Neodiprion lecontei: one gene and its partner. The protein of the gene in region 1 binds, or shares a complex with, the protein of each later gene. Links are inferred from orthologs where the notes say so. Each region holds a gene or a part of one and is shown on either strand. Other genes may lie near its edges.

What was found.
Region 2: 60S ribosomal protein L6 (region 1) and 60S ribosomal protein L27 share a complex: the UniProt entries of both Caenorhabditis elegans proteins name them as parts of the large ribosomal subunit. The link is inferred for Neodiprion lecontei from reciprocal best matches to the Caenorhabditis elegans genes rpl-6 and rpl-27.

The regions. Positions count from the first base shown.
Region 1 is NC_060262.1:33,930,507-33,934,437, reverse strand, and holds 60S ribosomal protein L6, read right to left. Parts: upstream 2,359-3,931; 5' UTR 2,344-2,358; coding exon 2,335-2,343; intron 2,100-2,334; coding exon 1,914-2,099; intron 1,179-1,913; coding exon 905-1,178; intron 573-904; coding exon 223-572; 3' UTR 145-222; downstream 1-144. Other genes in the region: two pore calcium channel protein 1, read left to right, coding at 3,453-3,558. UniProt on the Caenorhabditis elegans protein: Component of the large ribosomal subunit.
Region 2 is NC_060264.1:8,653,220-8,657,150, forward strand, and holds the start of 60S ribosomal protein L27, read left to right. Parts: upstream 1-1,221; 5' UTR 1,222-1,348; intron 1,349-1,785; 5' UTR 1,786-1,794; coding exon 1,795-2,013; intron 2,014-3,875; coding exon 3,876-3,931. Other genes in the region: uncharacterized protein LOC107219125, read right to left, coding at 1-160, 336-390. UniProt on the Caenorhabditis elegans protein: Component of the large ribosomal subunit.

The DNA of each region.
Region 1 (3,931 bases):
TTTAACACAAACCTTGTGTTCCAACTTGGGGAATTCCACGATTCTTCCGACCATTTTACGATCGCTGGTCACACTGATCCACAAACTGCGGATTTCAGGAATATCAAATAAAGAAACTATCTGCAAATAAATGCTCCAAGCCTATGACAAGTTTTTAATTTTTTATTATTCCACATGTACAACACTGCGGTGACATACACATAAATGATGTATCAAATGGATTTAAAATTTCATTCTGTGGGGATATTGGCTGCTTCGAAGACCGAACATCGCTGACAAATAAGTGAAGAGCAATTTTTTGTCCTGGTGTTTCTTGATGGCTCCAATAATTAGTGTATCCACAGTTTTCTGGTCGATCTTTCTCTGTTCAGAAGGTTTGTAGTCTACTTTCTTTGTGCTGAAGATATCTCCCTCTTCTTTCTTGGCACGCTTGTTCTGGGTCCTTTTGTAATATTCGTCCTTTCCTACTTCTTTGGGTAGTTTCACACCAGAAAGGTCGATCTTTGTCGATGTAGCTATCACGTAATTCTGGCTAACACGACGTAAAGGACAAGCGTTGATTAGGAATGGACCTGTAAAATGTTAATCGTGTGACAATTTATTCACAAAATGATAATGGCAATAAAATACTAACAGAAAAGATAAAACTAACTCTGTTTACTTCAAAGTAGTTCTAAATATATGAACTAAGACAACTTTACTGCACACTTTTTTGAACACTATAAATGTCTGAAACTGCGTCATCTGTCGTTTCAATCGTATGTGTTAAAATACACACAAAACACTAAGGCCTTATTTTTCTGAAAAAATAGAGGAACTATTTTCTACTGCAATACATAATGTTTATTCGAATGAATTCAATTCTTCTGCACTTGTGAGGAGCACATATGGAACGCCCACTTACCAGTTACTAACAAAAGACCACTACGAAGCTGCTTCAAGAAAACAACTCGCTTTCCCTTGTGGGGCCCAGCCAACAAAATCAGGATTGTACCAGGAGTGATGGTGGGTCTGAGTCTGCGAACATGTTCACGGAAAGTTTTCTTTGCATGGTGAACAGTGACTGGATCAGCAGTAGGGTAGTTCTTCCTCCTCTTCTTAAGCAGAACTAATCTGGTACCTCCATTTTTATCACCACCAATCTTCTTTTCAATGGTCACAGGCTTCTTGGGCTTTACCTACAATGCAGGTGATTAGTTTACATTGGTGGTTTAGCAAAATTTCATTACAAAATCAAATTATAAATTGGGCCGATTAATTGCCTTAAATCAAAGAACATCCGATAAACCATTATTTTGATTGAAAAATTGTTACAATATCGGATTACAACAGTGTGAGAGAAAAATGATGTTTAAGCAATGCTAAAAATATACAAAGTTTCTAGAGAACTTTCTCACAGTTAAGCTGGGTTACTAAAACCAATGTTAATAAAGATTTAGAAAATTATGCGTTAATGCTTGTACGACTCTTGGCAATTAAATGTTGCGACTTCACACCCACTTTGTTTAGATAAACAACAAATCGGTTGGTAATTTCATCGCTTTAATTTCCCTTTCATTAAATTATGGAGCTATAATGTGCAAGAACCACCTTGGATTAGAAGGGATTATTACCTATAATATTGGTCAGATCAAATTATTTTTTTATGAGTTTTTAACTGATACCAGCATCAACTTTCATAATATTCAGTATCAATATGAAGAATTATTTGGAAAAATTACAAGACTCAAGTTTTTAAAATTTCTTTGAGTGATAGAATTTGCTATTGTTTAATTTTCAAAAAATATTAAAAAAAATTTTTAGCAAATTGATAATCTGACGCAAGTTTTACCTGGAATACTACAATATGGAAAAAACCTAAGTGATGGCTTTTTCTACATTGTACATTTACTAAATTTCAAACATTAACTTACAGTTTTCTCGGTCTTCTTGCCAATGAACTTGTAAAGAGCTTTTTTGTGATACATTCGAGTTCGGCTGAACCTGTAGACTCCATTTCCTAAATCACGATTTCTTGGTTTGCCACGGACCTTGCGTCCATCCTTTTTGGCCTCAGTAGCCGCAGGTTTGGCCGGAGCCTTCGCTTTAGTATCCACCATCTGTAATAAAATTATGACTCAATCAGAACTGAAACACTTTAAAAACCCAAAAGTAAAATAGTCGTAAAAGTGCAGTAGGATATGAAAAGTTTCCTGTATGGTCTAATGGATCTTGATTCAGTAATGAAAACACATCACAGAACTGTTCAGTTGAATTGTAATGACACGTTAGGCGATGCACACTGTAATCTAGGGGAGAGGTTATGTTTAGTTAAAATTAAGACAAATGCATTAACTCATTCATCTCAGAGATTGGAGATCACAGTTTTTATATAGACTCTTGGATACAAGATATCACGTACGAAATTGATGATATGTATATAAAAATATCGAAACAAAGAATAAACAGCATTTAACGTGAGGAGCTAGACGTATCGACGTCCGTGTCGACATGCCATATAAACATTTTAACTGTTGATGCAAAAAATGTGACGAGTTATAGAAATATTAGGCGCAAATTGAAGTAGGCGAATTAAACTGATGTTATTTGATATAACTCCCAAACCAGTACGACCAAGAACGTTAGATTATTTGGATTCTCTGAAGAAAATTACGGCGGCTGATACTTACGTCGAAGCCAGCGGATGGTTGAAAGAGCCTCCATCTGCCGAACGAGGCTGGAAATAACCACTTAGGGCACACGTTTCCGGTCTAAGCGCAACGCGCGTTTTCTGCCGATTTTAAAAATTATTACACATATTCCATGCCAAACCCAACATATAGCTGCATACTTGGCATCAATGAAGCCTTTTACTGTCTTAACATTGCTACTTATAGTGGCTAGATATTTGCAACAAACGTTTGTACATTTTCGTGTTGCAATAGAATTAATAAATGTTCCAAAACGTAACTTTCAGCGTTAACTGACTGTCAGTTCTGATTCAAGCAATGTGAGTTACTTTCCTACGCCTTAGCGTGGTTTTCAATTTGGTAAAAACACTGTTAAATTAAAAATCTTCATTGCGGTGCTATTCAATTGCTGAACCAGTATGGACCAACATTTTCAGCTTGGACTTTACTCTGATCGGAGCCATGATCGGAGATAACGCAGAAGGCGAACCAATCCCGAAGCCTTTTTAAGCGGAATGCCCGAAGTCCGCTGATGTGAAGTCAGCCCCGGCTACGGGGGGATATCACGATAACGGCCGAATCTCCGTTGTCTGGCTTCGGGTTAAAAAATTCTCGGATTAGTCATCTGCAACATATCCGCGAGAAAACCACTCGTCGTCAGTCGCGTCGCAACTCTGAAACAGCGTAGGCAGGAGTCAGGTTTGCGGTGACTCGCGAGCGCGCAGCCACTCGAGAGAATCTCGTTACCCGTGCGGCTGTCAGGAGTCGAGGCTGCCAACGAAGATGCCCTCGTCCCCGAGAAGTCCTGGATCTGCGGACGGATACCAGCGTTTCGACGATGAGCCAAACGTCACTTTACGTTTAGAGGGTTCCTACGGAGCGAGTCCAAGTAAGCAGTTGCTTTAATTCCTCCGTTACGCGGGACGTGAAAACGAAAAGAAACTTTTACATTGGATTAAATTGGCAATTTGCTCCAAAAGATATTTATTATACATACTCGAACATGATGCAGTAGTGAATGATTTAGTTTCTTCAATTACTCTTTTCTAAATCTCCACCTCGAACCGGATCTAAACTTGTGATCTCGGTTTTCATCTCATTCCAAAGATATGACTTAATTATGTGAAAAGTACAAAATTTTTTTCACATCTATTAGCTGTTCAATAAGTACTCTAATCATATTTGAAAAGTTTGATAAGATAGCTCTTTTTGCAGATAGATTTGGATGATGACTTTCTTTTATTAGTTTTTTTATTACGTCT
Region 2 (3,931 bases), on another chromosome or scaffold:
GATTCTATTTTTGCCGCTATTTGCTCCCAAACAAGTTTCTTTTTGAAACTTGAACTTGTTAGCTTGTAGATGAATTCCTCTGATCCGACTACATCTAACAGAATATCCAATGCATTTGGCTGTTCCCATATGCTGACGTATTTTTTGTAGATTCCATAATCTGTTGATGTATAAACAAATCAAGTTATTTATGCAGGTAAATACATTCGAAAATTTTTATTAATAAGCAGTAAAATAACTTCTTCAAAAAAATTAGCTCGCAGCAATCATTCAGCACAATCTATTTGTTGATATATTGATTACATTCTGATACAATGATAACAATCAGTTTCTACCTTCATGGTCATTCAATTCTTGAATGTCTGATAACTCAAGTGCGATTTCACTCATGTTTGAACATAATTTTCAATTTTTAGAATGTTTTTATCCTCTGTATTCCTTTGTGGGATAGTTTTTTTCTTCTCCCTTCTTATTTGTGGTTTATCGGCACTTACAAAACTAGATGAGAACTTCGCAAATCACGGCTAACTTTCCTAAACACCCTGTCAAATTTTCCATTGATCAGTTGAATTATTTTCAATTACCAAGTAACTACAGTGCTATTTGTTATGATAGGTTAATCGTCGTAAACCAATATCGCCGGTGTCTCACAAGCTATTAGTCACCGGCACTCGACATTGTTGGCAGTTGGCCTTCTGAAAGGCATCTGAATTGTAGGGATCTTTAATATTTGCAAGGTAAGGTTGGTAACACTTGGTATAATTTCGAAAATATCCAATGCGAAAGATGTACGCAATATACGTGAGAGAATATATATTCAGCGTCAAATATTGAATTCACGAGTCTTCCATCGTTTCAATTTTCACTGAAAATCGAGACAGTTATGCTCAAACTATTTTCTTTGTAGGTATATTGCGCTTGGCGATAATAGCGATCACACATGACACGTCTGATATCTCCAACGTATATCTTCAGTCAACGACGTCTTCGGTCATATGCATGAGTAAACGGATTGATAAATTGGTAAAACGAGAGTAAATTATATAATTTTGATTATTTTAATGCATAGGCATTGTGTTATATCGTTATTCTATCTGTGTAAATCACGTTTAATTTTTGTGAAAAGTCAAGAGTCCCGCGATTAGACATCGCCGGAAGTAGGCTCAACGCGAGGTATTCGAATATCGAGTCCTAACCACAGTTGGTAGCTACGACAAGTTCTTTTTTCCGGTTTGCGGAGACACCGTAAGTTCTGTTCTCGTGTAATGGTTAAAATAATCTACGAACATCGGCATTTTCTGAAGTAATAAGACTGCGCATTAATTACCTCGGAAATCGTAACATTATTGTGCGTTTTATGAGCTAAGAATTCGTTTTTTACCGTGCAAGTGTTATTCGTTAATAATTGTGAATCTCGGCAGCACCTCCTATGCCACATACACGTTTGTTTATTCGTATGATTCCTCAGACACGGAAGATTTTTCATTTACTCACCTGCGTTTAAATAACAAATCTCATTGAATAACATCGTCAAATCTAAATTCAACGATCCGTTGCATTACCAAACTTTCGTTTCACACACTTGCACTTACAGGTTATGTCGGACATTCCGGAATGTATACAGCTACCTACTGTCAGCACGTTACTTTACACGATGCATTACTATGATTTTGAAACTTTCACCAAATTGTTAATTTAACATTGAATAACAAACACCAGTAACCACAATAAAGATTAGATTGATAGCGAACAAAAATGTTTTAACCCTTTTCTTTTCCTTTACAGGAAACCAAGATGGTGAAGATTATGAAAGTAGGGAAGGTTGTACTGGTCCTTAGTGGCCGGTACGCTGGACGCAAAGCTATAGTAATGCGAAATTTTGACGACGGTACGTCAGATAAACAATACGGCCATGCCTGGGTTGCTGGCATCGATCGATACCCTCGCAAGGTACACAAGCGTATGGGCAAAGGAAAACTACATAAACGTTCCAAGATAAAGCCCTTCGTGAAGGTTAGTTTGACAATGTTAAACTCGTATTCATAGCTATACAGTCATTTTGAACTTGTGTAAAATGGCCACTTGAAGAAATTTTTTTTTATTGAGGTTTTAAAGTGTGTTCTGAAGCCTGAGTCTATTTATATACCACGCTTCCCACCAAAAGTACAATATGAGTATCTTTAACTTCCAGGGTTTCTACTCCGTAAACTTGAATTTCCCTTCAAACATTCTAAATAATTAAATTTTGAATCAATATGGTTGGAAAGTACAATTTTAGTCGCTGTTTAACTAAAATATCTTGTTATCTTGTTGAAATCAATAAACCAAAGTCTATTGATGAAAAGGCCCCTAAACCGTTCCAAATGTTGGATTTATCGTTCAGCTTATTAGTTGACTTGATATTAATGTGCAAACAGAAAGAGGTTAAATAAATCAATACCTAATAGGTACTTTGTACTGTGTAACAGTAAAATGGAAAACAATAATATCCAAATTTCCTCACTATGTTACAAAGGGCTTAAGCCACGTTTGTTGAGCTTAATATAAGACGTGAGTTTTTCTTATAAATCAGGTTGAAAGAATAAGTAAGGTCATAATAAAATCTATATTGGCAGATGAATTTTTCCAATCCAAATGGTCATCTTGTCAGGAAGCTTGATAATTCTTGGTACCACAGTTGGTAAAATGATTTATAAACAGATCAATATGGTCTAAAAAAAATGAAGGAGTAGTATTTTTTTTTTTTTATTTTCAATGAATTCGAAGTAGGCCTAATGAGTTCATTTTCCCAATCAACGGCTCACTGTTTTCATTATGTTAACCATTACGTTGCACACAACCTGTGTATAACACTGGTGTCACGCTAAAGTCGCTAGAGACCCCAGATACAAAATCATTGCATGAAAACAGATATCGATTCGAATAACTTGAAAACATTTTGGGTTGTTCTTTAACTGTTATATTTGAAGGCAAATTAGTTGTCCTCAGCAATACGAAATTTTGGTTATGAAAAAAAAATGTATAGACCACAAAATACCAAAAACGGGATCATTCTAATCAAAAAATCATAAAATGAATTTTCAATATTTAGTGCTTGAAATTAATTAACTGAGTGACTTTCAAGGTACAGATATCTGAGAAAAAAAATATGGAGATAGTGCTCGATGAATAATAGGTATTTATTTGAGTGAGTAAAGTTGAATTATTGGGGAAAAAAATGAATTAACATTTCTTACGATATTTCATTATTTATCTTGAATCAAATCAGATTATTTTGGATGTTTTTCATATGGAACTTGGGTCATTTTAACCCTACTGTGCCTCATAAGGGTTAAAGTTGATGTAGTCAACACATAACATTTATTTGTTTTTTCTGTCTTTACACATAATTTCCGTATTTTTAGAAATGTGGTGAACAGTCAATTATGATTTTAATGAAGCAAAGCTTACCTGGTCTGCATCTGTAACCCCTATAAGTTAGTTTAATATTGCAAAGTAGGTGATTGGTTTTTAATTTCTCGTTACGCTCATGTCACAAACTGCTACTGTGTCTGATTTCATATTTATGTAAGAAGTTGTCTACTACCAGCCTTGATAATGAGTTTCTCTTCTCCTTGTTGTTTACTCACAGTTCATTCGCTATAGTCCAATACAAAATGAAGGCTTCAGTCGTTTGATAATAAAACACTTTATTACATTGTTCCAAATATCTGTAATTCGTAAATTTATCCTGCAATTCGTGAGTTTTAAATGAATCAATTAATAAATAAGTTACCACAGATTTGTGATTGGAATGAAAACAGTTTCATAAAAAAATTTCTTCAAAAGAAATCGTTACGCCACCTATTTTACATTGTTTGGTTTTCTGTTGTCAGATGTTGAATTATAACCACTTGATGCCAACACGGTACACCGTGGATCTAGCATTGGA